4 linked regions of the Saccharomyces cerevisiae S288C genome follow. The gene in region 1 interacts genetically with each later gene. Each region holds a gene or a part of one and is shown in the gene's direction. Other genes may lie near its edges.

What was found.
Region 2: mutations in NOP13 (region 1) and IRC4 together harm fitness more than expected from each alone (negative genetic interaction), as found in Saccharomyces cerevisiae (one large-scale study listed by BioGRID).
Region 3: mutations in NOP13 (region 1) and TDA11 together harm fitness more than expected from each alone (negative genetic interaction), as found in Saccharomyces cerevisiae (one large-scale study listed by BioGRID).
Region 4: mutations in NOP13 (region 1) and GIP2 together harm fitness more than expected from each alone (negative genetic interaction), as found in Saccharomyces cerevisiae (one large-scale study listed by BioGRID).

The regions. Positions count from the first base shown.
Region 1 is NC_001146.8:304,454-310,568, reverse strand, and holds NOP13 (Nop13p), read left to right. Parts: upstream 1-1,956; coding exon 1,957-3,168; downstream 3,169-6,115. Other genes in the region: MDG1 (Mdg1p), read left to right, coding at 512-1,612; TDA7 (Tda7p), read left to right, coding at 3,589-5,499; mitochondrial 54S ribosomal protein uL22m MRPL22, read left to right, coding at 5,954-6,115.
Region 2 is NC_001136.10:1,514,379-1,519,544, reverse strand, and holds IRC4 (Irc4p), read left to right. Parts: upstream 1-1,869; coding exon 1,870-2,409; downstream 2,410-5,166.
Region 3 is NC_001140.6:414,633-420,825, forward strand, and holds TDA11 (Tda11p), read left to right. Parts: upstream 1-2,916; coding exon 2,917-4,431; downstream 4,432-6,193. Other genes in the region: KEL1 (Kel1p), read right to left, coding at 1-2,547; PEX18 (Pex18p), read right to left, coding at 4,589-5,440; YAP1801 (Yap1801p), read right to left, coding at 5,741-6,193.
Region 4 is NC_001137.3:260,426-266,728, reverse strand, and holds GIP2 (Gip2p), read left to right. Parts: upstream 1-3,030; coding exon 3,031-4,677; downstream 4,678-6,303. Other genes in the region: FCY2 (purine-cytosine permease), read left to right, coding at 1-217; HIS1 (ATP phosphoribosyltransferase), read left to right, coding at 944-1,837; YER053C-A (uncharacterized protein), read left to right, coding at 5,683-5,796.

The DNA.
Region 1 (6,115 bases):
CGATAAGCAATATTCTAGCTCACTTTGTCACCGTGAATTTGTCAGCAAGCACCAAAAATGTCGATGCTTTCAATGACTATTACGTATCTTCTCTACTTTTGTGCAAATGTAAATACTAAATGAAAGCCCTATTTTGTGTAGGGTTTACACCGCACAAAGTAAAAAGAAGCGATAAAAATGAAAAAAAGTAGTCAAAATACATACTATCAAAGTAAGGGCATTGGTGAAATACTGCGAGGCTGGCCTTTTCCGCAAATATCTGGGGCAGCGAAGCGAAGGGGCCCGATAGGAACTTTTGGGGCGGGAGCCCTTGCATTGACATGGTTAAGGTTTTACATCCATCATTCTCCCCCTCTCTTGTGGTTTAAAAAAATAAAAGGTGGCCGATTTTTATGTAATATAGAAACGACTTCTGTCCTTCTGTCCTCTGTATTACCTAATTTTCTTTCTCTTGATGGTATTTAACTTTCTAAGCATTATAAGATAATATTAAAGGGAAAGTGTTTCTAGAATGCAATCGAGCTTACCTCAATTTACGTTCAAATGGCCCAAAGGACCCGAAGCAATTATTCTGACAGGCACGTTCGACGACTGGAAAGGTACTTTGCCGATGGTGAAGGACCCCAGTGGCGCCTTCGAAATAACGCTGCCAGTAACGTTTGATAGCCCTAGCAGCAAGTTTTATTTCAAGTTTATTGTTGATGGCCAATGGCTGCCAAGCAAAGACTACAAGGTGAACATCGACGAGGGAGTGGAAAACAACTTTATTACCGAGGAAGACGTAATAAAGCAACGCGAAAATGGCTCTAGCACGCTGGTACCTGAAAGTGCCGGATTAGCTGTTTCAAAGAATGCCCCTCTTATCGAACCAGAAGCTGAAAAACGTGCAAAAAAATTAAGAAAGTTCAAGATCAAGAGAGTGATCAAGACAAATAAACAAACCGGAGAAAGGTCGATATTTTCCCAAGAAGTGGTTGAATTGCCCGATAGCGAGGATGAAACCCAGCAGGTGAACAAAACGGGCAAGAATGCGGATGGCTTAAGCGGTACTACAACGATAATTGAGAATAATGTTGGTGTAAACGAGGAAAAAGCAATCAAGCCGTATGAAGAGAATCACCCCAAAGTTAATCTAGTTAAGAGTGAAGGATATGTTACGGACGGTTTGGGTAAGACGCAATCTTCTGAGTCTAGATTATATGAACTATCGGCCGAAGATCTTGAAAAGGAAGAAGAGGAAGAGGACGAAGATAAAGGCGGCGGTAAGGACACCAGTACAAGTGCAGACGCTGAAGCTTCAGAAGATCAAAATAAGGAACCATTAAGTAAATCCGCTAAATTTGAAAAACCGGAAGAAAAAGTACCTGTAAGCTCAATTACAAGCCATGCTAAAGAGACTTCTGTGAAACCAACCGGCAAGGTTGCGACTGAGACTCAAACTTACGAGACGAAACAGGGCGCTCCTACCGCTGCCGCAAAAAAAATCGAAGCTAAGAAAGCTACTAGACCTTCGAAACCTAAGGGCACGAAAGAAACACCAAATAAAGGTGTCCAAAAGAACCCTGCTAAGAATGGAGGGTTCTTTAAAAAGTTGGCCCAGCTTTTGAAGTGAAAACAATCAGGAGAATACCTAAATATATGACGTACTCGCCATACCTAACTATGTAAAACCTAATTATGTATTAATAACAATACCATGTTGTATGTAAACTCTGATGTAGGATCGCACTTTTGCCGAAAGCACATGCTTGTCTTTGTATTTCGCTTGTACGCCTTTGCTCAGAAAATTCTGTAGGAGTCACGTTTCCCGTTGAAATGCAAAAACCTGAAATTTTTCAGTCTGAAAGAAAAAATTGCGATGAGCATAGATGATAAATTTAACCATACAACAAAGAGAAATCCTTTTCCCCACAGAACATTACCTAAACCCAACAACTTTCTATAATTTGAGATAGAATGTCAGAAACAGAACTGTCGAAAGAAGATGCTGTTACAAAAAAGGATAACGAGGAACAAGTCAAGAAGGCTTTACTCGATCCAACAAAAAAGAGAAAAGCTGAAGATGAAATTGAGATTGACCTGAAAAGCTCCATTCCCCTATCAAAAAAACAGAAACGTCTCTTGAGAAGAGGTAAAGTTACTCTAGAGGAGTTGAATGCGAAGTACAATATCGACCCTAAGTCAATCGAGGAATACAAAGAAGATGCTGAAAAGAAAAAGTCTGGTGCTTCTGAGAAAGACGCCCAGGGTGAAGAATCTACAATCAACACTCCAACAGGAGATGAATCTGGCGAGGTTGTAAAAAAGAAGAAGAAAGATGAAAATAAATATGGTGTTTGGATTGGTAACTTATCCTTCGACACCACAAAGGACGATTTAGTAAGATTTTTTATTGCTAAAACAAAAGACAACGAAGATGAAAAGAGCAGAGTCACCGAACAAGACATAACCAGGTTATCCATGCCTCGTGTTGCTGCCAAGAACTCTAACGCCATGAAAAATAAGGGATTTTGCTACATGTTTTTCAAGAACGTCGAGCAGATGAAAGCGGTCTTAGAATTATCTGAATCTCATTTAAACGGAAGGAATATGCTAATCAAGGACTCCGAAAATTATTCAGGTAGGCCAGACAAGGACGATTTAGTTGCCATGTCCAAAAATCCACCGTCAAGGATTCTATTTGTCGGTAATTTGTCATTCGATGTCACAGATGATCTGTTAAGAAAACACTTCCAACATTGTGGTGATATCGTGAAAATCCGCATGGCAACATTCGAAGATAGTGGTAAATGTAAAGGATTCGCATTTATCGACTTCAAGAATGAAGAAGGATCTACTAATGCATTAAAGGATAAAAGTTGTAGAAAAATTGCCGGAAGGCCATTGCGAATGGAATACGGTGAAGATAGAAGTAAAAGACAAGTTCGTAAGAAGGTTGAAAATGTATCCAGAAACAATTCCTCATCATTTGATATCTCTAACAACAAAGGATACGATCGTGCGGGACAGGATAACGGCAGCAAACCCGAATACAAGCGGTCCAACGCCAACAGACGTCCACCTGTAGATTCCAATAACCGAACTAAGAGCAGTGTAGCTTTAGCCACTGCTCAGAGAGGTTCTGCAGCTATTGTCCCATCACAAGGTAAGAAAGTGAAGTTTGACTAATCAGCGTGAACTGACTGTAGGTGCCACGTATATAATGCGATTATTTCGCTTGTAAATTATTCAATCATTCATGTTTTATATATACATTGTATAACCAATTGCTGCTATTTTTATTTTTTCCATTATTGCTTATCAAGGCACGGGGAGAACGCACGGAAAAAAAAAAAAAAAAGAAGAAAGAAATGAGGTAAACAAGATCTTTAGGAGCGGTTCGCATATTAGTAATACACTGATAATCGCCGTACACTCATAAAATCCTAAACTACTCACCAGGTACCGAAACACTACTGATCCGTTTTTTGGACTGGTTGTTGGCACACTTTCGCTTAAGACACACATTTAGTATTTCAATCCCCATCCGTCGATATCTGAAGGAAATCTAAAAGAAAAGCTGGATAGAGTAATTATTTTGGCCATCGTATGAACTCCAATAGTACCATCGGAAGGACCACCCTTGGAGAATCTGATACGATATCCCTGTCATTCAGTGAACCAAGTAGCAGTCTGAATTCACGATCAACGGATGTTGTCTTCGCATCTACTTCAACTTTAGTACCCCAACAAGGAAGTCTGACCTCATTACCGCCCGTGTCTAGTACAGCTACTCCTACATATTATTCTACAAGCTTAACATATGATGAGACTTTGCATACATCCATTGATGTATCTTCGACAAGTACTTTAGTATCATCTACCGACAGCAGTTCATCGAGCGAGCAAGATACGTATAGTTCCCAATATGACCCAGCTACCTCCTCATACTCAATAATTACACCATCCATGTCCATTTTCTCATCGACGTCACCAATGTCATCATCGTCGTCAATAACGTCGGAATGGTCATCGTTAACATCAACAACACCAACGTTATCGTCATCAGCTACATCGCTGTCATCATCATGGTCGTCGTTATCATCACCATCTTCGTTACTGGTATCGTCCTCGTTGTCATTATCACTATCTTCATCATATTCAGACACTAAATTGTTTTCGTTCGACAGCAGATCTTCTATTTTCTCACCATCAACACCCACCGTAATATCCCCTAGTTACACATACTTGTCTTCCATATCTGCAACTTCATTTCAAATTAGTACCACTTCAGAACTCTCTTCTAGTTGGTTCTCAACAATTTCTTCTCCTTCTACGATATCAAATAAAGATACCACATTCCCAAGTTCCAGTCGGAATACTTCCACATCGTTTTACAGTTCATCGCTTTCATCGACGAACGATTTTTCAACCATAAGCAAATCATCGAAACTCAGTCCATCAGCTTCATCTTCGACAGTTTCCATAAGCACGATTTCCGTGCCAACGTCAAGTTCTGTTAGCTCATCCAGCAGTAAAGTACCTTCAAACCGTCCTTCATCATCATCATCATCAGATGATACAACAAGTGCTTACTCAAGCACGTATACTTTTCAGTCCTTACAATCTACTACTAGCAGCAGTATACCACCCACCACTCAAACACCCAGCACTAGTACGATTTCTACGTCTCCCATACCAACATCCAGTCAGGTCTTCAATACGGTAGCCATTTCAAGCTCCGAAGATTCAAAAACTATTTATTATTTCTATACCCAAACATATGATATTACTGACTCCTCTACAACGTTCGTGACGGGATTACCTACGACCATAGCAGTTGCAAAAAGTGAGGTAACCTCATTTTCCGCTCCATCTTCGACGATCACAGCTGACATGTCTTTCTATCAGCACTGGCTTGATGGCAGTTTGGATAATAACAAAAACCAAGGCACTTCAAAGACAAATACTGGTACCATTGTTGGAAGTGTGGTAGGAAGCGTCGGTGGTATTCTTATATGTGTACTAGTAGTTTGGTTCATGCTGGTTAGAAAAAGGAAGGCAAAGAGGCATTTCAAGGAAAACGATTCCTTCTGTCACGAGATTGGGCGCAGAACGGGATTCCCAACAACTGCCCAAGCAAAAGAGGCGTCACTTCAAGCTCAAGACTCGGGATCACAGCAACGAAACACCGAGACTGCTTCTGCTAATAATCCGTTCAGCAACGAATTCAATTTTAAGGCAAGAGGAAATCCTCCTCCAGTGCCACCACCAAGGAATGTTACCGCAATGAATGGCTCCTTTCAAAATATGCGGAGTAATTTCATGGACCAGGAAAACAGATTTTCCTATGGCTCTTCATTTACATATTCGTCATTGGGTTCATCTACTCAAGGTGGCTTTTCTACTTTATCTTCAAATTCGATACGACTCGGACGTGGTTTAGATAATGACATCTCTCATGATGAGAGAAATACAGTTCAGAACAATTCACAAGGGTTCTTGAGGGAAATTATATGACGATGACTTCAGTCTATTAGTATGATGTTTACTAATTAAGCAAAATCAGCTCTTGCTGAATAACACTACTATTAAAAATCATAAAAACATCTTTATTGCCAATAGTGAAGAACGACAAGGCCTTTTAAAAGGCATAAAAAACAATGATACCATTCTGCAATGAAAAAAAAAGAAAACTTTGTTCTTTGTGTATAAAGAAAATATTTTAGTTCTCCTAAATAAATAAATACTAAATTATACGAAACTCTTTCAGTCTTTTCTCCTGCTTGCTGCTTGAACAGTACTCATGATATTCTATTAATCTTCTGTGGGCGGGGTAACTAAGCCTTCACTGTACTCGGGATTTTGAATAAAAGTCAACTATCCAATCTGGAAGGCATTTTAACATACGCCATTAGGAGCCGCATAGCAAGTCAGAGAACCTCACCTCACCCTATCTTTTTTATTAAAGAAAATGAACTTCCACACGGCAAGAATATCTCAGGTCGGTGTCATTTCTAGGGCTCTACTTTCTTCTGTAAGTAGACGTTGGATTCATGTAACGCCAATAAGTCTTAATAATTCAGGAGGATCACTATTCGGAAGCATTACAGAAAATAAACCAAAGGAAGGAAAA
Region 2 (5,166 bases), on another chromosome or scaffold:
AGTACCATTGACTCTTCAGACTAACCATGATAAAATCTTTTTATAGAAAATAAAAAAAATGGAAATCGTAAATGCTTGGTATTTAAAAAGTACCCATTTCGTGCATCTAAATATACTAATATTCAGTGAATGGTGATAAAGGTACTCCACACTTACTTGGATCACTCTTGTGATCAATTTAAGATACCTATATGTGTAACCGTATTATGTAATTATGAAGTATAAGTCGTTGAAAGACTTATACTTTTTAGGCGTAATATCAGATGGAATCAAAGAAATTATAGAAAACAGTAGATCAGAGATCCTGCCTTTGGAATTCTGTAATTCAACATATGGAAAAATTGATGCGAAATCACAAGAGTACAGGGATAATTTGGTAATGTATCTCACTAGTTACCATTGTTTTGCTACGCGTACTATCTCGTTTCAATCACCTCTTCTATAATATTACTAAAAAATGTTCATATGTTATATGGCGTACCGATAAAGTTATTGCATTTCTCATGCGATTTTAACTTCCTTTTCAAGTCAAGGATACTTTGTGCAAGCGTAAATCCTTGCTCAATCTCCTCTGCTCAAAATGAAAAAAAAAAAAACGCAGAATCATATGCAGGATGCAATATTGCTTAAATGATTCTATATTTTGCACTTATGTGTGAAGAGTGTAATTTTTGATCTTCCATTTTAATGTTATGCACATAGAGCTGAAATTAAATGCGTCATATATAATTATTATGAGTGAGTGGATTTTGAGATAATTATTGGGAATTCATTATTGCTTGAGATAATATTATTACTTATACAGAATACACTAGAAGTGCTCCTCGGGGACATAGAGATCCATAAAAGGGAATCGATAATTCTACACATTAATCTGTTTTATTTCTTTATCTGTTTTACACGTTTTCATTCATTATCTTATTACAAAATCAGCCCTTGCGCTTCATGTTCCATTATACTCGCAGACTGTTTCTCATCATTTATCTCATCTTTAACTCCATTCAGTATATTATCTTAATAACGCGACTACTAGTAGTGAATAATGGTCAATTTTTACTTCAGAAACTTCCCTTGATTTCATTCATAGATGTTATTTCATTGTCAATTTTTACTCTTACTCACCGATTTGAATGACAGTAAAGAACTTTGCTCAATTAATATTATATTTGTTGTTATCGTCTAACGCTGTAAGTATATGGTACTATCATAAGAACCTCAGTAGTGGAATATGGTTGTTTCTTGTGCTGACATGATTCCGGATGGCCTGTAGGAAAGTATCCAAGATTTTTATTATCAGATACCGGTATGCATTCCATAATGCCAGAGTTTGCGTTCTTACGTCAAAGAACAATGATGCTACGGAGCGCAAGAAAGTGACGTGGCCAACTATCAGCGCGCTAGGATATGTATGCACTGCCGAAAGGCTGAAGCGTATCGTACATTAATTCATAAAGAGAAAGAAATCTCAACCCTGAATTTAGGATAGCGAAGTGCAATAAGAAAAACTTTACCATTGTTTTCAGGATGAATTCTATATCAGCCTGTTTATATAAACAATTTGACAATAGTGCGTAAAGCTAAAAAAGGAAGCATGCCCTTTGTTCCTTATCGGGTGGAGAGGGCCGCACTTAATCTCGAGCGGATATCAGGTACCAAAAGCCTAATTGAAGCAGGCAAATTTTTTTTCCCTATTTTCTTTTATTTGAGTGTGTACATACTAATATAAATTTGATCAAATAATGAATGCGATTAAAAATCAATATTGGCAAATGGAAAAAAATCTAATAGCGGCTAATAGTGAGACTTACATCGCTATAGATTGGTAATTAAACGAATTAAATAATAACAATTGAAAAAAAAAAAACTATCATGAGAGAATATACCAGTAAAAAAGAACTAAAGGAAGAGATTGAAAAAAAATATGAAAAATATGATGCAGAATTTGAAACAATCTCTGAATCTCAAAAAGACGAAAAAGTTGAAACAGTGGATAGAACACCCTCTGAAAACCTCTCTTATCAATTGGGCTGGGTTAATTTATTATTAGAGTGGGAAGCAAAGGAAATTGCTGGGTATAATGTGGAAACTCCTGCGCCTGGTTATAAATGGAACAATTTAGGAGGATTATACCAGTCATTTTATAAAAAATACGGAATCTACTCCATTAAGGAGCAAAGAGCCAAGCTGAGAGAGGCCGTAAACGAGGTCTATAAATGGATATCTACTTTATCTGATGATGAGCTCTTTCAAGCGGGAAATAGAAAATGGGCTACAACTAAAGCTATGTGGCCTGTGTATAAATGGATCCATATCAACACGGTTGCTCCTTTCACAAACTTTAGAGGAAAAATTAGAAAATGGAAGAGACTAGTGCCTGAAGAACAACGCATAAAAAGGAGGAAGATATAATGAGAAAGTTGTATATGGCCGTCTATTTTTTTTCTTGCAGGATTTAGAAACTACCACAGGAAAACCTTTTTTAATATCATATTTTTTGATATTATTATATTTGAGAAATGAATCTCGATTATTATGAGTCAATTTAACAAAACCTCATATAATGTACAGCAGTATAAAGACAAAACTCTCTTACGCTTACCATAGCCTCAATAACATGTCACAATACGAACTTTTTATGTTCTTCCCATATATTTTATTGTACTCTACACACACAGTATTGATCATATAGTTAATTTACCTTACTATACGCTAACCTTTAAAGCAACAAAGATATAGACGATACCATACATGAATGTCGATCAGAGACGTATGGTATAGCTTGTGTCACATTCTGCTATCGTATATGGTATACATGGCACATACTTTAAATTTTAAAGTAATGTCACTTGATTAAGATCTTTCCTATACGTCAAGGTCTCGAGATAAAACTTTATGTCTCAAATAATACATGCTAGGCATATAATGACCCATTTTCTGGAGTTGATGTACTCAAGACATTGGTTAAATATCAATCACGCATGATGATAGTGCGCCCTATTATAACCCATTTTTGTCATCGTCATCACGCTTCATCACCTGAGAAAAGTAACATACAAACTCAACGCCTACTAAGATTAATACATCAAAAACGATATCGTTGCCATGTACGTGCCCTAACTGCAGAAGAGAACTTCAACACTTGGACTAAAATTCACATGAAATTCTCCTAACATTCTAACATCGGTGACATCATTCCAAACCTCTTTGTAAAAGAATATATGAACAACATATGCATTAGAATAACGTGCCGTTAATTTTGCTCGAATTAACTTACCCCAGACTTGACAAAAATCTAAAAACTAACTACTCAGAAACACAAGCAAGCCTTGTGCATAAGAAAGATGTAAATCCATAGCATCAGCAGTTTCGAACTTGATACACCTCCAATTATTGCTTCATAAAGAATACATCTCCGTCTGGTAATGCGATGGCCCCGGTTTAGAGTACCCTTCTTGCGCAAGGTACTTGTGTGATAAGTAGCGCATTTTTTGCACATCACGTATGCTACTTTTGTATTCTTCACTAGCAGGCACTACAGTTGAAATAGAATTGAAGCTTGAAGTGTCGTATGGGTTATTCCGATTAGTTCACCTATTCGCATATTACGATTTTATAATCAGAGTGATATCAATGAGTATTATAACCTTTAAGTCATTGTGCTTATGCTATCTATAAACGTCCAGCGGCACATAATTCATCTATTTATGCAATTCCTACAATAAATGTTGATATCTTCATGGAAATTTCTTAAGCACAAACTTGTATTTAATATCCTGCATAAAGAAAACAGACATCTAGAAAACTTTCATAATTTTCAAAATAATCTTCCTTTATACACACTCTAGCGACCTGGGTTTACATTTCCGTGTATGATTGCTTTATATAATAGGACAATAAAGGAAAGTCGCTAGAAGAGAATATTATAGAAAGCTAAAGTGTTTAGAAACAGATGACTTAGAAGCACCTCTGTAATGTGGAGACAATGGTCTCAAGTTGGCGCATACATCAGTTTGCCACAGCGACAGAAGTATAACCGATTAACTCAACATGAAGGATCCTAGAATATACCGCAAGATTCGATTATCGATCGTCTACTACATCATAGTAGCAGTTAATATTACTAAAATACATGCATCTTTTGTATGATACATGATCAATATATATGATTATATTACTTCTTTCAGTTTAGCATTTTAAGGATATTAGCACCACAGGCAGAATCCCACTTTTTCAGTCTCTCATACTCTCTCAGTTTGATTGAGATTTAACAATATCAGCACATTTTAGAAGATGCTACAGTCAAATACCGCCTCATCTAAAGCATGTTCTACATATATCACAACGTCACGTTGAATAAGGCCATGTGACACGGGTTTCTGCCGGTCGACATTCCAAGCATTGTATTACAATCTTCTTTCATTATGACATACTATTGCATTTTCTAGGGAATATTCAAAGCTTGTCCATACCGAATATAAGCGATCACGTTTTGATTACCATTTTTTTTTTTACCTACTCTGTCTTTAATATTAGAACTATACATGGGTAAGATTGGTAGATGATAGTATATACCTATAATTACAGTTTCATAGAATGGAACTTTTAAATTTTATTCTAACTTTTATGAAATACCTTAAAGCGCAAAATACAGGCTGACAGGATAACCACAATGTCTCAAATCCCACCTGCATTAGCTATTTTTAATAATCAGTTCATTATTTCCATTTTCATGTATACGGTTACTATGCAATTAATGGTAATGCATATTCATTGGCGAAGGCAGATATCTCCAAAAGTTCATTCAGCACGAAAAAATGCACCGCACGCATCAAATGATGTTTTGAATTTTAGCACTTATGTTTAAAGACTATTCGTTGATAATCCATTGTTTCCACTATTTTCAAAATCTTACCAAATGACAGCTGAACTTGCCGGAAAGCAGGGTTTTTGTAAAAGTAATACCGTTCCTTGCAATTGCATACAGGCCATGAGTACTAAAAATACTGTGGTCATTTTATGCAATCACTAGACACTCAAGAAACTGTAGAAAAAGATATCAGCAGAATACAAAAAATCTTTAACGAATGATTGTATTGGAGATTTGGAGTCTTAAATAGCTATGTGGCATTTAATTGAGTCTATTGCATAGTTCCTTTGATTTTATGT
Region 3 (6,193 bases), on another chromosome or scaffold:
CAAGGAATGATTATCTGCCTCTAGTATTTCACATTTTGATTGCAGTCTGACGGAATCCAATTCATCTATTTCTTTCGTTGTCCCAGAATTCTTCTGGGATTTTAACTGCCATAGCTCCGTCTCTAATTCCTTTATGTGAGCTCCGGCTTCAAGCGCCTTTTCGTGCGTCAATTCTTTCAAACTTTGCAATTCCGATCTTAATTTCTCAAATAGTGCCCTATCTACGACTTCGGTAGTAGCATCTCTATTTATAGGAACGCTAGCTTCTTCATTTTTCGTATCAGTTGGAACGTCTCCCATTGGGGACACGTTTTTTTCATCACTTGCATCAATAACATGGTTAGCACTATCATGGCCCGCGGTGTCGCTTTTCTTTATTGTAATATCCACAGGCTCGGACAGTTTGTCGATCTCCGTATTATTCTGTGATAATTCTGAAGATTCATTATAATGCTTTATTTTGAACTGATCTTTGGATGGGGAGCTCGCCATTTGAGCCACACCGATTTCGTCGTCTTCGTCAGCAACATTGCCGTCCTCTTCAACCTTGGACATCGAAGATGTGCCTAGTTTGTCCCCGTTTATCTCTTGGTCGAAGGTCGTCGTGGAATCTATTTTTTCATCAGCGTCAGGAAGATGTTTTATTTCCTCTATATTACCATTTTGGGGCGTTTTTATCTCATTACTTGGAAGCGTCTCTAATATTGGGGAGTTATTCTTTATTTGGTTTGCAGGGGTGAGATTATCTCCATAGATTGAAGATGGGATGCGCTGATTTCCAACTGTTGGATCCATAGTTTCAGAAAGATCAGGTTCTTTCTGGATAGTAGGCGTATCAAATGGTTTGTTGGAAGTTATTTTCATAACCGGCGTTTGTGAGCTTTCAGATGGAACATATGGAGTCAAAATGTTAGGCTCAGCAATCAAGTGAGATTCAGAATTTACTGGGTGGCTCTGATTTTGGTGTTCTGTTGACACATTTCGATTGTGTACCTCCCTGTTGAGGCGATCAGCATCTGAAAAATCTTTTGGTGCAGGTGATGGAGCGGAAGCTAGAGGAGCTGCTGAAATTGGTACGTTCATATTTTTAGTTTGATGAGAGGTTGGGGTAACGGGCGTCGCCAGGTCAAGATTACCATTTCTCGGAGTTGGCGTATCAGTTGGAACATCCATTACGCCTGGACAAAGGTCCTTTATGCGGGCCAAGTCTAGCGTATAAACAATTGTACCTCTTTGCATATCAATATCAGAGGTATGCAAGTCGTACTCCTCGACTCTAGCGTAATCAAATTTATCTCCTCCCATAATCAAAATTTTATCATTTTTTAATAATGTTAAAGAATGCCCAGAACGGCCTTGCGGAATTCCAGCCGTAAATACAGGTAATTTAAACCATTTACGCGATTTCAAGTTTAGGAAATACACGGAGTTCAAATAAGCATCATGCTCATCTTTCCCGCCTACAACACACATCAGATCGTTGTAGACTACAGTAGCATGTTCTTGAACTGGAGGAGGCTTTTCACCCGTGGTATCAATGATAAACCAATCATTTATTGCAGGGTCGTACATAAACACATCATTTACTAAACCTTGTAAGGTATCGCCACCAAATACCCATAGTTTAGAATCGTATGATATCATAGTAAAATTGGTAATAGGTGGTGGTGTAAAGGTCCTTGGTTTCAAAAATTCCCAATGAGAGTCCGGTCTTCTAAAAGAAGATAAGTCGTAAACAGCCAAGTCGTTGAAGTAGGTGTCATCAAATTGACCACCAAACACGTACAGTTTTGTTTTCATTTGAGTTGTGGCGATAATCGAAATTTTATGACCGTACCTTCCCAATGGACGTGGTCCCACGGGTGCCGGGACTGTCCATTTATAGGAATTAATATTCAAAAGGTATATGTCATCGTCCATCAAACCTTCCTTATTGACTTTGTGTGTGTCACCGCCAAATACAACAAAGGCATTCCCGCATAATACAGCAGCGTGGCCTACCCTTGGTGGTGGTGTAGCTTCACTTATGTCTATCGTTGTAGTGGAAAATCTGGTGGCATTATCGAAGGCCGTTAATATCCATGTATCGCCGTACACAGATTGGTCATGAAGTCCCCCAATAACATATATCTGGTTCTTGTCTGTAACATATGCTGAAGCAACATGTCTATAACGTGGAAAAGGAGAATTCTGTAACTTGATTCTATTCCATACGGTATATTCTCTCTGTTTTGAAAGCTGCTTATGGAGAGTAGTGGACGGTCCTGAGACATTTCGCTGTTGCGGTGGTACTGCGCTCGGTTGAATCCTTGATTCGGATACCTGTTTTCTGGCAAACATAGGTGGTGAACTAGTTTTATTAACATTAGAATGGTAACCTTGTGAAAATTGACGCCCTTTCTGAGGCGTTTCTTGTTTTGTGAAAAATTTTTCATTTGGAGGAGTTGACAGTGAAGCTTCTCTAGATTGGTCAGAGATAGAAGCATCAGAAGGCGTCTTTCCATGTTTCTTGTGAGTGAATTTCTTGGCGAAGCTGAATCCAGCCATGTTTGAGTTATTTTCTAGGTGCAAATTGAAGCAAACGGGCTCTAACTTTTCCTGAAAAATTACTGTGAATTTGTTAATAAGTGTAAGTATCACAAATCAAGCAAAACAATTACTTTATAGAACGAGCCCTGTTGCTTTTCTATATCTTATTGTTTCGTATTTTAAAGGAATGCTTGCTTGTAGTTTACTATCAACAACCGCGTCGCCAAGTCCCCAGAAGACGTGCCGCGTGATTCCAAAGGTGATGAAGGGTACAAGTTGTAAAGTTCAATATAATAGGTAAGGAAAAAGGCCAATACTAACTGTGCTTTTCTCAATTACCACTACATGGATCCGAGGATAATTAAATCTATCTCCTAGGGCACTGATATGAATAAATTTGACGAGTTTATAGAGTCTAATGAGAAGGATTTGGATGTGGACACCAGTACCCGAAATAGTATAATTTCGATGTCACCTGTGAGGAAAACTGGACGAAAGATTCGTTCTGCTAGTTCCAATGGATATAGGCTAGAACACCATCGTACGTCCAGTGCGGGAAGCATGCATTCGCAAAGACTAATGACGCCTACCAGATTAAATGACCAGGACCATCCCTTACAAGCCAAGCCAGATGCTAGGAGGGTGGTAACTCGTCATTCTTCTGTCTCAGTTCCAAATGCAATGAGCAAGAGAAGATCACTTATTCAACCCATGGTTGTTCCCACTACACCAGAATCTCAAAACAACTTACCTTCAGTAAGTCATTCTGAGGGATCCTATGGAATCCCATTAGAGTCAACCACTGTACTTTCTAGTGAGCAAGCGATGGCCAGCGGACTTCGACGGTCTAGAAATGGGAGTTCGCAGTCGGTTAATAGTATGATAGCGACCACCATACCAACAAATGGGGTCGATGTAAGTGCGCTTCTACAATCTCTCGCTACAAAAGAGTTAGAACTTCTGGAATGCAAACAAAAGATTGAAGATTTGAAAAAGCAAACCCAGCATGAAGAGCAAAACTATACTCGTCGGGCACGTGAACTGCATGAACTCAAGGAGCAAGTGAGTAAACATTTGGATCCCTCTCTAAATACACCTGTTAAAAACCGGGCTTTTTCACCGGTTTACCAGAATATACCTTTGGAATCACGAACTGAAAATGCTGGTAACAGCAGCCTTCCTAGTTCTGTCAGTAAACCAAAGAACATGGGTCATCAAAGTACTAATCAGTCAAGATCTGTGTCTCCGCAAGATATTCAAGAAAGGCGCCAAAGGGACGACTCGTCAGATTCATCCAAACAGTCACTTTGGAGCAAACCATTAGCTCTGTTTAATCAGTTTGATAAAATCATTCAGCATGAAATTGAAAGAACTCTGAATTGGGATGACTCTCTTTCAGGTACGCCTGAGGTACAGGAAGGGACACCGACTAGTAATAGCGAGTCGTCCGCGCAACAGTACGATAATGAAGCACCTGGAGCTCGCCAAAAATCTCCTTCGCAAGGATCAGTCTCCAGGTCGCTTTGGAGCTTTGTTAGCGATGTCAAGGCCGGATTACTCGGTATAGAAGAAGAAAACGATAATGATGTTATTACTGATAACAGATGTGATCCTGTATATAAAAGCGATAGACAGCATGAACAGAAAAAAAGTACACATAAAATTACGAACCGGGGGCAAGCAGAAGATAGTGGCGACGATTCTAGTTTAAACATGAGGAAATTTAAAACGACAACTAAGTTCCAGAAAGACAATGCTGGGAATAATAGTCTCACAGATGAAAGTGGACATCGAACACGAGAAAAAAAAAGTAAAAGAAGTAGTAACAAGCTAAGTTTTATTGGAGAACCCGATAATGATAATTCCTCCGTCAAAAACTCAGTTGAAATGACAGACTTCTAATTCCTTTTTCAAAATGACGTTTATTCTTCACTTGTCACTCTTTTTACGTATAGCTGTGAACGCAGTATGTAATTTAATACTGTTTTCTCTTGAAAGTGGTTAAAAAGTGTTATATATCTGAAATTCATGGTTTAAATTAAAGAAATTTCAAGGCCCGTTAAGCAATTCTGTCTTCAACATCATGGAACTCAAGACCAGCCCAGTTTCCTGAATTCTGAAAACAAAAACCTACGTGTTTTTGAAGGTTTCTTTCTGTACCGTTATCCTTCTTTAAAACTATAGAACCATCACTAATGCTGCCCATCAGCCCCATAAACTTTGAACTGTTTAGTCTTTCTTTTACATCTTTATTGGCACTATTATTATCGCAAAACTCAATTATATCGGAAGCCAAACCTTTCATGGCAGTTTCTTCATCTTCCAGACTCGTACCTGAATTTTCCTCTTCTGTATGGACATCTTCTTCCAAACTACTGGCTTCCAGTTCCGAAAATTCAGCATTAATTAAAGAATCAATGTGGCTGTTGATAGGATGTTCTAAACCTGTTGTCTTGAATATCTGATGGTCAACCACAGGGAAGGAAGCAATGTTAAAGTTTTTCTGTGAATAAAAGCCTAAGGGAAAATCTGTCTGAGATGTCCGTAGCCCGTTGTTTATATTAAGATTCGCGATTTGATTTTCGATGGGCGGTTCAACATTCTTAGGGAAGTTATATCTAAAATCCTTGGCCCAAGAAGTTTCATTGTCATTTAGATTTGGCGCTTCAAATTTGTAACTTTGATCCTCTAAGGTTCTAGGACGAATATTTACGTAGGACCGTGATTGATTCAAATCTTCTGAGTGTTGTAGAAATTTCAGCTCAATTTTATCCTTCAGAATCGGTGGTGAATTCAGTCTGCTCCCGATTTTGTTAAAAGAGAGCGTATTGTCCCTGCCCGTAAAAGGCCCCTTTTCTGTACTACTAATAAATTTATTCACCTCATTCGTTTGGCATCGGTTACTATTCATTGTTTGTATTTTATATCATTTGTCCATTGAAGTTTAGACAAGTATCAAATACCCAGTTTTCGTCTTTTCCCTTATATAGGTCGTCTCGGAAATAACAATATAAACTCCATGGTGCGGCGCTATCGAAATCTTTTGTTGGCGGGAGGAATTGAAGACAGTAAGATGTAAGTATTACATACTATAGGACAAATGCAAAATATGTACAAAATGGCAAAAATTACATAGCTCTTCCTTACAACTATATATAGCTATCCAAAGATGCACTTGAGTACTCCCTTACATACCTGATTATACTAGATATTACATATCAATTAAATTGAGGTTGTTAGCATATTGGTTTCCTAAAACTGGTTGCTGTGTTTGAGACTGTTCCGGTTGTGGTTGCTGTTGTGGATAGAAAGGGAAATTTTGAGGTTGAACTGTCCCAGTTATATTTGTAACAGGGTTGGCTCCTGCAGTTGCAGGCACATAATAACCCTGTTGTGGTTGCTGTTGTTGCTGTTGCTGTTGTTGCTGTTGCTGTTGTTGCTGTTGTTGGAGATGATTCTGAGTGTAGTGAGCCTGAAATTCCATTTTATCAAAACGCTGAGGAATATTCATCGATCCCTGCATGCTAGTAGGGGTTGTCATAACGCTATTGATCGAGCTCAAAGGCATTTTTTGTTGTTGAAATTGTTGTTGATTGTACGTTTGGTTTTGAAAAGGGTTACTTATTATCTGTTGTTGTAGCGGCATATTGGTATTTTGTTCATC
Region 4 (6,303 bases), on another chromosome or scaffold:
TTGGGAGCATCTACCTATCGGTATCGCAGGTACTGCTGCCTTAATTGTTGGTGCCTTCGGTGTTGCATTGGGTATGTGTCAAACCTATTGGGTTGGTGAAATTGGCCGCTTAATTGGTAAATATGGTGGTGACATTGGGTTCGAGTTGGGTGCAAGTTGGGCCTTCATCATCTACAACATCTTAAGACCTTTAGAATTAAAATACTTCGGTCGTTAGGAAGTAATGATTAGGGCGATCATTTCCCCGTGCACATTTCACGTCATGTATCATAGATGCAATTTCATGTAAACTATTTAGACATCTCATTTAATAAAAATAGCTACAAACTGTATTTTACAATATTAGTAACATATCAAAGATAATCTCTATGGTATATACAAAACTTCAAAAATGCCAAGACAATTTGCACGGCTGCGACCTAATTGAGACTTTGTGGCCTGCATATCAGTCTTACAATAAAAGCCAAAAAGAAAAAAAAAAAGTAAGAATGCACAGGTGACTAGTGGTTATGTGACTATGTGAACGTAAAGAGAACGAGATGTAACCCGGCAACCCGGCTAGAGAGGTTGTTTAGCATGCGAGGTATTAGACTCCTTGTCAAAAAATTAATTAAAATATTTATTAGTTAATTTATTAGTTGCAAAGTCATTGATAACAGCGTGACTCTTCCCGGAAATTCTTTCATTTCGGCATTTCGAAGCGAGACCGCAAAACACGTGTACGCACGTAGCCAACGATTGAAAAAAAAAGCTTCCAAGTGAGTCACCTCTACCGTTGGAACTTATAAAATATTTTTGCAGAATATACTCGCCTGAAAGTCCATTTATACGCAGTGAACTGCAAGTATTTACCGTCTAAACTTTGGCATTTTACTCCTATTAACGGTTTGAATCTTTGAAAATAGAAAAGAAAGGATAGGTTTCTAAAAAATTCAATAGAAAAATGGATTTGGTGAACCATCTAACCGATAGACTACTGTTTGCAATCCCAAAGAAAGGTCGTTTATATTCTAAAAGTGTTTCTATTTTGAATGGTGCTGATATTACCTTTCACCGCTCTCAAAGATTAGACATTGCACTAAGCACAAGCTTACCTGTAGCGTTGGTCTTTCTGCCCGCTGCAGATATTCCAACTTTTGTTGGTGAAGGTAAATGTGATCTTGGTATAACTGGTGTTGACCAAGTTCGTGAATCTAACGTCGACGTAGACTTAGCAATCGATTTGCAATTTGGTAACTGTAAATTGCAGGTACAAGTCCCCGTAAATGGCGAGTATAAAAAGCCAGAACAGTTAATTGGCAAAACCATTGTTACCAGTTTCGTGAAACTTGCTGAAAAATACTTTGCCGATTTGGAAGGTACTACTGTTGAAAAAATGACCACAAGGATAAAGTTTGTCAGTGGTTCCGTGGAGGCATCATGTGCTCTGGGAATTGGTGATGCTATTGTAGATCTTGTAGAGAGTGGTGAGACAATGAGGGCAGCAGGTTTAGTTGATATTGCCACCGTCCTAAGCACAAGTGCCTACCTAATAGAATCAAAGAACCCAAAGAGCGATAAGAGTTTGATTGCTACTATCAAATCAAGAATTGAAGGTGTCATGACCGCTCAAAGGTTCGTTTCATGTATTTATAACGCACCTGAAGACAAGCTGCCTGAACTGTTGAAGGTGACGCCTGGCCGTAGAGCACCAACCATTTCCAAAATTGACGATGAAGGATGGGTTGCTGTTAGTTCCATGATTGAGAGAAAAACGAAGGGTGTTGTTTTAGATGAATTGAAAAGACTCGGCGCATCTGATATCATGGTTTTCGAAATTTCTAATTGTCGTGTATAAGATAGAACAGAAAAAGGGAAGCCAAATCCCGATTAATTTTGTATTTTTTATAGGCAATAATTTGATAGAGTTCTATCTTATTCTAAGTTACCCCTCATGACTTCCCAAGTGTGTTTTGAGGTTATCTCTGTGAATATTTTTTCTTTTTTTTTGCTACTTCCCCAGGAAGTTAAATCTTCGTAGCATATTTGTCAGCTTTACTACCGTCTTCATGCTCATGAAACCTTCTTCTTCAACCCCCTTCATTTCTCCAATTTTCGAAAACTGGAGCTACCCATAAATATTCGGAGTTTTGTAGGTATTTTTATTTTGGAGAAAACCTGTACAAACTCTCCCCAGGGAGCATAGATTGGGGATCGTAACGCATAAAGCTGTCTAGAATGCATTTTTCCATGCTACGTCGATTTTTTGCCCGGAAGAGGCTGACGTAGCGCTGGAAGGTACCGACAACTATGCCTATTGTGGAGATGGGCGGCAAACTCCTGTCGCAGAGTGGGGGCGGGGAAAGGTTCTTTTTGCCGTGGAATGAAGCGCATAAAAGAAAAACAGTATGCCATATTAAGTCTTTTTAAGGGGAAAGGGGCTGCTACCATGAGGTCTTTTACCAAAAATGTGTATCAGCTACGCTTCTCAATGAAGGGGCCAAGAAGTTCGTTCTATCCAACAGGAAATATTTCGATATTGCAACGGTCTTTCTATATCTTGCATATTCTTCTTCAGGTTGAGTTCCTTTATATATACTGCATTGCGTAATAAGCAACACAGGGCCCATCCGTTCAACAGAAGAAAACTAAAGCTTTTCAAACATAGCCTTTCCAGTTCAGTGCATATTTATAGAAGGTAAACCTGCATACAATACGGTTAAAACAATAGGAACGAAAAGAAAGCTAGACGGGAAAGCAGTTACTAAAGGCAGGGTTGACGGGACGTTTAAAGAGAGAAGTCTGGTTTATAAAACCTTTTAGTAGTAAAAAAGGAAAAGAAACAAGGAAGGTTGGCATTCTGTTTGATTGAGGAGAAAGGAACCACATTGGACTTTTTTTTTTCTTTCTGTAAGGTATAGTTTTTAGTAGGCTGAACATCAAAAAGATCTCCGTTGTACTCAGAAACAAGTTTAATAGGAACGGGTACAGATATCTTGTCAAAATTTTATTCTTACAGCCCAAGTTTATTAGGATTTCATCAACGCAACAATGTATATAAAGGCAGAACAGAAACCCCAACAGTTTGAGAGGAAGAATGAAAAACTAGACAGAAATAAAAACCAGCAGCTACCAGATCTTGAAACAGATTTCAAGGGTTACAGAGTGAATTCGGACCTATACAACAAAGAACGAGATGGAAGTACGGAAGAGACTTTAAACTCTTTGAAGTTTTTACATAAACCTCAGAGAGTAACTCAAATGAGAGCGAACAGGTTCCCAGAGGAAGAAGTGCAAAGAAACACTGATTTAAACAAAAGAATTTTCTCCGCAGGGAATGATGAAAACGTTGATAATGAGAGCGGCTGGTCAAAAATTGCCGCTGCCAAGAATCACACTTCCGTAGAATCATTAAATGGCAGTACGAGACCCCCATTCAAAATAGAGCTGCCTCCCCTTTCCCCCAAATCCACCGTACCAAAATCTTTTCAAGCAGAATATCCCGAAGCTAAGTCACCTGGCAATGATATGAATTTTGAATATGATGAAGAAATTCTAATTCCATTTGCGCCACCTGTATATAAAAAGTCAGGTGAACTATTGAAGAGCTCATTGAAGAGAAGATCAAAATCATTACCTACAACCCCAGGTATAAGGAGCGGGAATGGTGTCCAAGCAAGAGACGGTAGTCCGATGTTGATTAGGAGTAAGAGTGTTCACTTTGATCAGGCGGCACCTGTAAAATATTTTGCTGAGGATGAAAGCCCTATAAACGTTAATAAAACTGAACAACACGATAATTGTCTAAGCTTTAAGCATAAGCCAGTGAATTTAATGGTGGACCCGGAAGAAGAGACAAAAATGCTATCATCTGGATTAGAAACGACATCCATAGATGATGACTTGACGACAGTTGCGCCAAAAGGCTTCGCACATCCTGCTAAAATTTCGAATCCAAACAATGGTAAAGGCACCAACAATACAAAATTAAGAAAAAGTAAAAGATTTCAGAACCTCCTAAAGAACAGGACCGACATGCCACCATCAAAATCAAATAAAAAATTCGTTAATGGTGGCGGTGCTCATGAAATTTCAGATCGTAATTCAAAAAATTACCATGTTGTTGGATTATACAGCAAGAACTTCCCCATTTTAAGCAACAAGAATCCTAAAAGTTTAAAGCTGAACATTTTTATCAATTTATCACAAAATAAGAAAGTTTTTCTACAAGAATTGTCATTATACATCCATAGAGACAACAATTACTTTTCAAATTCCTCCTCATTTTATAATATTCCCAATAGCCACAATGGTAATGACTGTAATGGTGTGGCCAAGGGTTATAACGCTGGCTGTACAAGATTAATTGCTGGAAGGATACTAGTGAAAAACATTTTCTATGATAAAAGAGTGGTGGTACGATATACGTGGGATAGTTGGAGAACAACACATGAAGTGGAATGCGTTTACATCAGTGATGGCGATGGAATATTGCCGGGCACTAACATGGACATTTTCCACTTCATTATCGATGATGTCAGCAAAGTGGATCCTCGCGGCAAGTTAGAATTTTGCATTCATTATTCTACACGTAACGACTATGAGCGCGAAGAGTACTGGGACAACAACAACGGGAATAATTATAAGGTGGATGTTGTAATGGATGGCTTTAACGATCCCTTCGCGGCGGCAGCATGAAGGCAACCAGAAGGAAGGAGATGAAGAATGGACATAAAAAGCAAAATGACTTGCTAGATCTTGGCCTGAGTTACTCTCATGATTGGGACCGAACTCCGATAAATAACTCTAAAACATGCTAGAATATTTCAAGTAAATATACATAAATCACAAATAAGCAAATAAACAGATAAATATCTCACAAGAAATCGGGAGCCGATCTTCGATGTGTGTGGGCGTATATACAAATGTGCATTCGGCACGTAAAAGACTGGTAAAGGCTACCGTCCTTCAGTGAGCATTTTTTACATTCATTCAACGCTATACAGCTCTTACTGTGCGACGGAAACGCGACAAAATGTGAAGAGAAAACTAGGGGTTGCTATGACACGACCACGGAAGGCCTAAAAAGTTAAGTGACAGAAATCGTCATTGGTAAAAAAAACCCCGAACATGCCGATAAAGACTTGCTTATTCACCTACGATGACTTCAGAAGTGCGCCTATATTTCTTTACTTTTGAACACCCTTCCACCGCCCATTTAGAGAGAGCTATTTTTGTGCCTTCACTTCCGGCAGAGGTTATATTTTTTTTTTTTTTTTTTTTTTGCATACTACTCCTACTTCTTTCTACAGTCTCATCCCGACGCTTCAGTTTGAAATGTAAGGGACTGCGGCATTTGACTGAAAGAAGGGAGAATGGATGGTTTACTTTACTTTTTACGTAATGAAAAAAAAAATGATTGCTGTATTAGGACATCCCTGTTCTTTTATGTGGTAGCCTATATCCGATAACTGTTCAGCTATAAGACGTGAAGAGAGATTTTTTGGTACCCCTTATGCATTCAATTAAATAGAGAATTAGATATTTCTACCGATGTGCATTTTGTATATAAAGAAGTAGGAATCCCTTCTACAACGACAGAGGTAGACATACTGCTTGGAAACATTCTTTTCGTCCTTTTACAGAATTCTACATAGAAATAATAAAAACAAACAATAGCTTTACTACACAGTACACACTACAATGCAAGATTTAGAGATTTTTTTGAGTATTTTCGCTTTCATTTTCGTTTTCTACTTTGGTGCTCATAGAACAGTCATGAACAGAAACAAGAGCGATGTTCCTTACTTGCAGTGATTTAAATCAGCTAATCTGCTTACTGCCGCCAAGAGAGGTATGCAAAGTCAGTTCTACCTAGTCTGGCTTAGCGTTTTACTATTTACGAAGTTGATGTTCTGTTTTCTAATTTATCTTTTTTCTACTCATTCATTTCCACACTACACTTAATATTTTTTCAATAATTTTCGATGTTTTTAATCCGGTTTTCTATTGATGAGCGCCTTCTTAGCTCATACTTAATACACGTTTTTTAAGATTTATACGTTTGACAGCTCACGCTGTTTGACCAAAGTTATTTTCATTTTTATGTTCGTAATTATGTATTTTTGCTATTGTATATGATATACGTCTATATTTAGGCAATTATAATATGATTATAATATAACTTACTACATCTCTAAAACATGCTGTCTAGCCCTTCCATCGCAAGACTCGGCTAGACATTCGAGGAAGGCACAAAAAGCCACCTATCCCCATCTCTCCAAAAAGCTTCATTTCGAAAATAAGAAGGGAAACATCCGAATA